Arabidopsis thaliana: one gene and its partner. The protein of the gene in region 2 interacts with the protein of the main gene of each other region in a pairwise test. Each region holds a gene or a part of one and is shown on either strand. Other genes may lie near its edges.

The links.
Region 1: the proteins of GLK2 (region 2) and GBF1 interact in a two-hybrid assay, tested with the Arabidopsis thaliana proteins (one study listed by BioGRID).

The regions. Positions count from the first base shown.
Region 1 is NC_003075.7:17,309,066-17,314,454, forward strand, and holds GBF1 (G-box binding factor 1), read right to left. Parts: upstream 3,424-5,389; 5' UTR 3,142-3,423; exon of another isoform or gene 2,726-3,141; 5' UTR 2,688-2,725; coding exon 2,628-2,687; intron 2,539-2,627; coding exon 2,494-2,538; intron 2,383-2,493; coding exon 2,293-2,382; intron 2,186-2,292; coding exon 2,096-2,185; intron 1,977-2,095; coding exon 1,837-1,976; intron 1,751-1,836; coding exon 1,693-1,750; intron 1,615-1,692; coding exon 1,566-1,614; intron 1,480-1,565; coding exon 1,358-1,479; intron 1,270-1,357; coding exon 1,192-1,269; intron 1,108-1,191; coding exon 982-1,107; intron 875-981; coding exon 785-874; 3' UTR 604-784; downstream 1-603. Other genes in the region: HVA22K (HVA22-like protein K), read left to right, coding at 1-50, 156-251, 333-405, 506-603. UniProt on the Arabidopsis thaliana protein: Binds to the G-box motif (5'-CCACGTGG-3') of the rbcS-1A gene promoter. G-box and G-box-like motifs are cis-acting elements defined in promoters of certain plant genes which are regulated by such diverse stimuli as light-induction or hormone control.
Region 2 is NC_003076.8:17,796,384-17,801,463, reverse strand, and holds GLK2 (GOLDEN2-like 2), read right to left. Parts: upstream 3,184-5,080; 5' UTR 3,030-3,183; coding exon 2,583-3,029; intron 2,202-2,582; coding exon 2,061-2,201; intron 1,862-2,060; coding exon 1,526-1,861; intron 1,173-1,525; coding exon 1,083-1,172; coding exon of another isoform or gene 1,038-1,082; exon of another isoform or gene 964-1,037; coding exon 817-963; 3' UTR 538-816; downstream 1-537.

The DNA of each region.
Region 1 (5,389 bases), on a different chromosome or scaffold from region 2:
ATCATGTGAAGTTTGCGTTCCTCGTCTGGCTTCAACTCCCAACTGTTGAGGTACCTATCGGAATCTCTTTAAACCATCATCTAACGAGTAGGCAGCTTTAACCCGTGGTACTCATCAGTTCTGATATTCTCTATATTCTTATTTGCCGACAACAGGGATCAAAACAGATATACAACAACCAGATCCGTCCTTTCCTCTTACGACACCAAGCTAGAGTGGACCAACTTGTGGATGGTGTATATGGGGAAATGGTACACGATTGCTTTCTTTTGAACTCCCTTATTCTTCAGTCACTTTTAACTAACGCTTTAAAACAAAACAAAAAACTGCAGGTGAAGGTCGTTAGGTCACACCAAGGAGAAATACGGTTTGTCCGAGCAATGATTGCCAAAATCTTGGGATCAGGTTTGTTTCGGAACTCTAATTTTCTATCTTTAGTGTAATACTTTGCTATCAGGGTATTGAACTGACTATTTTATTTGTACTTGCTGTGTTGTTCCAACAGTCAACGAGGATGCACCACGACTAGGAGAAATAGCAAATGGTAGCCCCGTTTCAGAAACAAACTCGGATTCAGAATCCGATTCCAATCACGAAGACTAATAAAACAAAGTGTAATCGTAGCTTTTGCAGCTTCTACAGTCTTGTAGGTCAAATCTCTATTACACAAAAATGTCAAACGATTGTATAGTTACGTAATCTCAAATGACTTTGGACTCAGTTTTTTTTATCCGGTGTTGAAAAATCCCAATAATCCGTTGTAAAGTTCCAATTTTCCTAAGTGTTAATTTGTTCCTTCACCATCTTTCGACCCAGCAGCATTCTGTTCTAGATTAGCTACAGCCTCTGCTCCAAGTACTCTCTGCAACTCATCCTGCATTATTCCATGACTCTAGTGTAAATGCAAGCCGATAGAAATAAGATAAAAGTTGGAAAGAGTATGATTTTCGCAGAAATTTTTCCGGATAAAGAGTTTGTCACCTGGATTGAGTTGTTCTCAGACTTGAGCTTATCACATTCGCTTGAGAGTCTCTGTAGCTCATCTCTCAGGCTTTGATTCTCGTTCGACAAACTCTCTACTCTTTGTTGAAGTTGTTCGCATTCGGCCTATTCGAAATGGTTTATTATGGAATGAGTAAATTACAAGAAGCAGACAGAGTAAAATGATACTAACACACAAATGCATATTACCTGCTTCCGCAATCTAGACCGCCTAGCGGATTCACGGTTAGATTGTTTCCTCTTCTGCCGCTTGAGCTCTCGTTCATCCTGTTGAGTAATCAGAGGATTTTGTAAGGAAGAATGTAACGAATTCGGAAAAGCAACCTTGCAGGGTGAAATGAGGAGTTGGTCACACCTTCACTGGTACACCAGCTTGGGAAGACCATAAGTCCATCCCGATATTCAGATTAGTCCCCGGGGCTACCGGCTTCATGGGCACCGAACCTTGGATTTCACCAGTCGTACTTTGAGAACTTGCTGTTCAAGGAAACTTTACCAAGTCAAGAAACATGGAAAATACATGCAAAGAAAAACCATGAAAACTGCAGCGGTCAAAAGCATACCGTCAGCAAGCATCTGTCCAAAGCTTGGCTTTCGAATTGAACCCTGTTCCTACATTAACATGAATCTCAATGAAGCACATCACAAAGTATTGTAGCAACAGAGAACACTTCAAACACATAACAGTACCTGTTGATTGGCATTCTCATCATTTTCATCAGATGAACCCGCTGTGACACTTTCATCACTGCACAACGGAAAAATCATAATTACATATGACACTGCAATCAAACTGAACAAGCACCACGTTGAGTAGAGTGTTATAAAAATCACCTATGAGAGGCACCATCGTTCCCTGAACCAGAGAGCGCTTTATCACCTCCTTCAGCCTTTTTTTTCGAGTTCCCCTTTGACTTCTTGCCAGAAGCTTGGTCCTTCGCAGGCTCCTTGTTGGTAGGACCAGAATTAGGAGGCTACAACAAAAGAAATGTCGAGCAAGTTTTTTACTTTCTCATTTATCTATGCATTGCCATGTAACAGAGCAAAAAGCTTTCAACGATAGCTAATGTTGTATTAATGGTATGGAGATTACCATGGGCATGCTAGGATGAGCATAGACTGCCCCCGGGGGATACATTGCTGGGTACGGAACTGGGGTGCCATAAGGCGGCATCATATGGTGCTGAAAGTAATGCAAAACAGAGAAACTCATTTAGTGTTATCCAAAGAATAAGATGCAAACTTCTTTTTCATAGAATCATATCAACAACTATACGATACAAAACTTACTTGAGCACCCCACATATAGGGGTGAGGACTAGGAGATCCAACTGGGGATGGGAAAAAAGGATTTGGAGTACCTCCTCCGCCATAATAAGCCTAAAGAAATAAGCATATACTATTATGTTCAGCAGTCCCGGTGTTTTCGAGAAAGTATTCACTTACACTATAAAAACTAATAGTGACCAAAGTTGTACATGTAACACGAACCTGCATTGAATTTTGCCAATCTGGATACGGTGTGGGAGGAACTTCCTGAAAAAGAGAGAGGTAGATACATCAAACACCTTAAAATATAAAACAGAACAAAGATGTTGAAAAGAAAGGAGAAGAGAAGGATTAACCTGAGCCGAAGATGTTGGTTTGGTAGTCTTAAATGGCATCTTGTCTTCGCTCGTTCCCATTGTTTTATAAGCTTACTACTTACTTGTGTTACTCAAAACTATAAACAAAAATCAAAAATCTTAACGATAAATAGTAATCATAAAACATCAAAACTAAAATCTTTTGCTTTCAATTATAACAATCAATGACTTTAAAACAGAACAAGAGTAAGGGCACTGTTCTTTTGCTTTCATTTATAGCAATCTAAAATCTCTAAGCTTCGAACCATGCATCAGTATTTTAAATCACACACACACACACAATTCAAACTTCAGAAACCAACACTCAACGAATTCTTAAGCAGAAAGACAATCTCATACTTGTGAATCATCATCTCCAAAACAAGCTCTGTTTGCATAATTGATTAAAGAATTCAATTCAAGTACAACAGAATCAGTTACATGCAAAGGTGTTTGTTTGCATATGAGAAATTAAACGAGAGAAAAAGTTAGAATAAAAACAGAGAAAACAGACCAGCTTCTAATTGAGTAAAGTGATGTGGAAGTCCAGCTAGGATTTTAATAGATGCCGACACGTCCTCTCCGACAGATCAGACAAAACTCCGGCTCCGAAGAAGAAGAAGATTAAAACTCCGATTGTTTACTTTTGTTAGGGTTTTATCTCTTTTGCTGCTTCATTGAATCTGTCGGAGAGTTTTTGATTGAAGATAGCAAAAAAAACAAAGGAAAAGAGGATTGGGATTTTCCGATCTGGTGTGGCAAAGTCCGATAGGAGGAGAAGAATGCGAAGAAAGAGGAAAGTTTTTTTTTTCTTTGGGATTTTAATTTTAGGGTTTGATGATCTGACACGTGCGACAATGAGAGGTCCAGCTGTACACGTGTTACTGGATAAGGTTTTGACACGGTAGCTACAGTTGGTGTGACTCATCTACTCATTTATTACAATCAAAAAGGATATTCAATTTATTATCATTATTAGCGATCTAATTAAGTACATGAATATTAAAAACATTTAAAATATATTTTGATGTAAATTGATAACTGTCAAATTGTCAATGATAAAACCCTTTTTACATTTATATGATTTTTTTTTGTAGATAAAGAGTCTTTTTTCTTAATTTTGTTTCCCGTTGTAGTGCATAATATATTATGTTAATTGTTTGTAATCTTTTTCTTTAACAAGAAACTAACCAAGTCAAAGCTATTTTCTAGGTTTGCATGTTTGTGTCATTTTACTGAAAAAAAAAAAAAAAATAGTAGTAAGTTTTTTAACGTAGAATATTAAAATTTGCTACAGTTGTTGATATTAAATCGATAATTTAACTTATCGTTAAGATTTAAGAACTAATCAAACATGACGACAAAAAAAAAAAAAAATCAAACATGACGACGAAAAAAAGAGAGTCAACGTGCATCAGTTTATTCAATTGCTAATTAAAAACAACTAATATCCGAGACAGGCCCTTAGTGTTTGTCAAGCTAATTTGGTGGAATCTTAAGCCCATTGGGCCTACTTTAATAAGTCCCTAATATTATTGCAAACATACATTTTTTTATAGGTGCCAGGAGCAAGCCAAGATGTCTCCAACGTCTTGTGATTTTCTGTTTACAAATGAAACAAAATAAAAATCTAAATATGACTTATCAATAGTTAACTGATTGATAGCAAAATTCAGTGCATTCTTAAAAAATCGGTTTTCTTAGGTAAATATAGCATCTATCGTAGAGCATTAGTATTACCATTACGTAGTTGATGTGATGGATCACCATATCAAAAGGTCCAAGACTTTTCTTTATATATATACAATCTCATCATATGACGACTCAAACAATATAATACAACACACTATATACAGTGAATGTGTTGAAAGTGGTTACGAGTACTTAAAACAAACCCAATTTAGAAAGAGCCATAACGTTACGTTTTCTTTACACTTCGTTTTCTATATACCCAAAACTAAATTAAATCCTTCGCTTATTCGCCAAACACTTCTTCGTGGGTCCATAGTTTCTAAACTTTACGAGACCATAATGTTTTCGATCTATAATTTTAATTAATTAGGATTTAGTATATGTCTAAATCAAAAATATCTTAACGTCAATCAAAATCCAGAAGACTCTAATCAAAGAATCTCTAGTCATGTCCAAGAAAACTTTGATTTTCAGAAAATGCACTTGTACAGTTTACAATTACTGGAAGAGGTTTTAATCAAAAGAACATCTGATCTTGTCCAAAGACACTTTGATTTTTCCGTTGATTAGAAAACGATGTGTTTTTTCTAACATTTTGAGAAACGCATGATACGTGGTAACTTTTGATGACTAATACTCTCATTTTATATTATGCGATCAGATCACTAATAAGTAATAATGATTACGTGATGAATATATTATGTATAAACCATAATATAAGCTTACACATTAGTTGTCAACCGATCTATAAAAGTTGACTCAAAATGTTTTACCAGAATTAGTTATATTTTATCCGAACTTCTCTTTTGTATAAATCGGGCAAACTCTTATCCATGGAGATAAAAAGTTTTAACAAATTTGCTCATCTTATCTTCATGTGCATGTCATCTAGTCCTTTGTCTTCTACAATTTTAAAAGTAAAGGTTTTTCGAATCTTGCAGCCGATACTGCTTTTATGGCCGCACTTTTTTTTTCGTTAGTGAAACCAAATTACAGTTTACTTATTATAATTAAATCCTAACGAATTCATATATATTTTTCTTAGAAATTTAATTCAACAAAGTAGCTAA
Region 2 (5,080 bases):
GCATCATCACTTTGGCTTTTGATTGGTAATCTCTATCGCATGGTACAATATTTAATGCTTTAATAGTTTACTAAACACAAAAGTATATCTACAACTATTCTAGTATTTTTTTGTACTATTGTATTTTTTGTACCTGTATTTTTTTTACTTCTTTCAACTATTCTAGTATTTTTAAAACTTTTTCCGCTTTTTTGTTTTTACCATTTTGTGTCACCAATCGAATCCGTTTGAATTAAGTTTTTTACATGGAACCAATTAAAAGAATATTCGTATATCTAAACTCCAATTATGTGTTGTACTTTTTTTTTTTTTTTGCCACGATATGTTAACATTATCAATTGCAAATTTTTTTATGGACTTTAATTGAGTTTTAAAAATATTTGACTTCTTTGAAATTATAAATAGTCACAATCCATAGCTGTGAAAGTTGGCATTATAAAACAAAATAAGCCATTGAAAAAACACATGCGATATATATCCCGTCTAGTTTTCAATTGTATAAAACTATAAATTGTTGATTGAATAAATGATAGTAATGTTTTAAAATGTTAAGCATTTTTAACCCCAAAAAGTGTTGCATTTAGTCATTTTGCAATGATGCTTCGGGAGTTGAAAGTTAATAAAAATTACAGATTCTGCTATCGAAGATTATAACGATATATTAAAGTTGCTTAACTTCGATACATGCACTCATATAGAGAAATACATATGATCAAGCAACAAGGATTTATCGTCTTTCCCTTGCAAAAATACATAGAAGATACCAAAAAAATGAAGTTAAAAGTTTGAGATTTCGACAAATTTTGGAGATCTTTCTCAAGGAAGAGGAGGAACATTAGAAACTCCTTGACGTTGTAACTCCGTCATAACACCGTCAACCGACGGCGGTTTCAGTCCCAAAGGAAGCGGCAGCCACGGCTTTGATATAACGTCCCCAATAGCTGCATCTATGCTCTCATTCGACTGCAACCGTCAAGTAATGAAATATTGTTAATTATCCAAAATTTATTCGAAAACTTTTTTGGGTTATGTCATAATCAAAATCTAATAAACAAAATTGAAACCAAAAAAGGTGCACTCACGGGATGAATGTCGATGGGAGGATTAGTGGGTCCTAATTGTCTTGTGGGAACACCGATGCTTGAATGATTCGATGATGCCATACCATATCCCTACACATATATACACATAAACCATGATTAGAAATATGTTTTTGTAAAATCCATACATAATTCATAGCTCTAAATCTTTATTAGTTGTCTACATAAAAATGATTCATGATCTTGCAATCTTTTACTAATTGCGTTGTTAGACAAAACCACAATCTAATTCAATGATTCCGTTTTATACTTATATATGTTGCATGTGTTAAAAAGCCAATAGTGTACAAAGACTAGCTTTTTGCAGTGTCATGATTGTTCAACAAAGCTGATTTAGTTATGTCATTTCGATTATTTTTCATGATTTAACCATACAACTAATAATGGAAAAACATGTAACATTTTTACAAATGAATTATTATTACCTGTGGATAGAGTGGTTGCTGATGCCAGTACGGTGGATGACCTGGCCAAGATGCCGGAGCCGCCGCAATGGCCGGCATTGGATACGTCCGATGAGCAGACGCCGGAGTATTAGGCTTGTGTTTTGGCCACGTAGGATGACCCCATACGTGCAAAGGCCTGAAGTGACCATGATGCATTGGTGCCACGTGTGGAGGATAGCCTAAGGCAGGAGCTGTCCACGGCTTCTTCCCTCCTCCTCCTACTCCGGGCACTGCCACCGTGGCATGTCTCCGGAGATTCCAGCTGGCAGCTTCTGCTTCACGCGCTAGTAGATGTTTCCGATGTGACCTATATTTCTATCATTACAAGAAGAACACAACACAAATTAATCTTATTACACAAATCTGAGTTGGTTAGTATTTTACTTGTCTTTTCATAAAAAATTTTGAAGGAAAAACATGTAATCTATAAATTAGGTAATTACTATGTTAGGGGTTATAGCACTTGATTAATTCCTGTTAAAATTAGTTTGTATAGTTTTAGTCTAAAATTTACCTGAAGATGGCTAGCAACGTTGTGACGAGTGAGAGATTTAACGTTCATAATTTCCAAGATTCGAGACGGCACCGCCTTGTCTACCCCTAATTGCTCCACCGCTTGTACAAATTTCCGGTGTAACTCCGGCGTCCAATCCACCTGATTTGCCGGAACAATATATTAATTAATCAATAAATGAAAAGAAAAAAAAGGAATTCATTTTTTTTATAGAAAATTGTCTTACAGTTTTATAAAAAAAAATATTTAGTCCAAATAAACACACAAATTTGTATAGTCCTACTACACAAAACTTGGTTTTGGTCCTAGATCTACTCCAGTTATCAAACTTAATAATAATTGTGTATATGATAAATACACTAATTCACTAACTTTGTAAAAAAAATATTCAGAAACACTAGAAGTTTATGTTTTTTTAATGAAATCCTTAAAAAGGTTGGTGATTTCTTAATGGGATTTTTTACCTTTAAAGAAGAAAAAAAATAAACTAATCTAACATGGATAATTGGGAAATAAACACACCTTAGGTTTTTTCTTAATATCGTTCTCATCGGATAAACAATCTTTACTTTTCTTCCCTTTACGTTTGCCTCGACGCACCGTTTTGTCCCTAAAACCACCGTCACCACCACCACCACCCTCTTGCTTACACACACCAACGTCTCTCTCCGATGTCTCCGATGCCGTCGAAGTGTTACCCTCCATTTCTTGTTCCTCATCTCTTCCGCTACCGGAATATTCCCCAAGAATCTCCGAATCTATCTCCAAATCCGGCAAAACATCGTCTCCATCGAAACCAATGAAAAGATCGTCGTAGTAATCGATTCCATCAAGAAGATCATCGGAAAAATCCCCGACCGTCGTAAAGTCCGGCAAGTCTTCCGTCGTAAAATCTGCGAAATCTGCCGCCATGTAAGTATCCTTTGAGTTGTTTCCGATGAGTACTGGAGCCGGAGAAACAGTTAACATCGGAATCGTAAAAAAATGAAAATTCTAAAGGTTTTTTGAAAAATTTAGAGAAAACAAGAATGATACAGTGAAAGTAGTATATGAGTGTATATATATATATAGACGTGTGTGTCTGAATAGATATAGATAGTTCCAAGGTTTTATTAAAATCTTTTATATGCCGTATATATGTGTTGGTGGATACTGACATGAAAAATAAGTTGTGGTTGAGAGATAGGAGAGAGAGATTTTTAAGTTTTTTTATTCTTTTCGTAAATTTAATATTTTATTTTTGAAAATATTCAATTCAATACCATATTTTATATTCTAGTATAAGTTTATAATTGACAGTTTCCTTTTAAACATTATGGCTGTATTACAATGAATGGAAAAAATTACAAGAGCTATTAAAGATTTAAAGAGTCAAATATAGGAAATGAGAAATATTTTTGTCTATGTATACACTATTGAAATGCTCCTTTCTTGGTTGTCCCAAAAATAAAGAGGAAATGCTTTCTACATTTTTTTAGTATTTGCATAAAATGACAAAACTTTGACGACTAGCAATTAAGCAAATGCGTAAGTATTTTTTTAATAAAAAGTGATTTTTTTTTACATTTTGGAGTATAAGACTAATAATTATTTTGGGAAAAATTCAAAAATACCATTAATATTTTCTATTTATAAAAATATCAAATTTATTTTATCCATTTTCAAAAATATCACAAATATATGGATATAAAAAATTATAGAGTATGTTATAAGAAAGTTTATAAAGTCTCTATAACACATGTTATTGAGTCTTTGTAAAGTTTTGAAATTGTATGAGGTTTTGTACTTTTGTACGTCAAATTTTAAAATGATATTTTAAACAAATTTTCATTAATGCTTTTTTGAAAGTGGCATAAAAAATTGGTGCCTCAAAAAGTTTCCTAATTTTTCACAGTATGTTACTTCTTTTTTTTTTTATGTGGATTTCTTATTCATAAAATTATTTTTTATGTGTTTTACTTACAAAGTATAAAATGTTACAAAATGCATGCTTTTTCGTCTAATTATGCTATTTTAGAATCAAGCGCTACTACTATATAATAAGATTTTGTATAGCTTATATATATATATATATATTTATATATATAATAATAATTTTCTACATATTTGTTTGGGTATAAGTTTTAAGATCCATGATTTTTTTTAAGGAAAACGTTGTAAGAGTCCAATTTATTAAAAATAGTGGTGCATAAAGATAATTTAAAATAATTATTTGATTATTTATTTCACCAAAATGCATTTATCTTTGATGATATTCATCCTCAAAAACCACCAAAATTATACGTGTTTGAACTAATATAATTAAAGAATTGGTATCCTACAAATAATTTATTTAAACGACATTTTATGATAATAACGACAAATAAGAGTAAAGTCTATGATCGGATAGAATGGTTGTTCATAGTAGCAATAATTAATACGGTGTAGATTTCGACATACTGGATTATGGCGTGTATAAGATTTGTCTTGTTTCGGATCTTAACTAACACAAAACCTAAATGTTACATTTATCAAAAACGGTTTTTTACAAGGCGATTTGTTTTCTCCTTGGTTTTTCTTTTAGTTTTATTTTTTACAGAACTGATGTGGATATTCATAAATCATAGATAAAACAATTTATCCTACTATATTATTTGGGAAGTACATTTTAAATGTAACCTTAATTTTTGTAAGTAATTACATAGGTATGCCATTAGAAATAAAATTTTAAAGAGTAAATTAATTTATCTCTTTAAGGATTAAAAAGTCAAATACTAATTTAATTAATTTAATTAATTAAAAACGAAATACATTATTAATTTTTAAAAATAATAGCCAATCAAAATCAACTTATAAGATTTGATATCTAAATTTTAATTAATTTAATTTAAACTATAAAATATAAATGTATTAGAGAATGATACAATTTGCAAAACTTTTATATATAAAAATAATTCTAAAATTTTAAAAATTACTACTTAAAAAAATAATCATGGGACGGGTAAAGAAATTACAGAACGTGTTTTATTTTGGAATTGGGT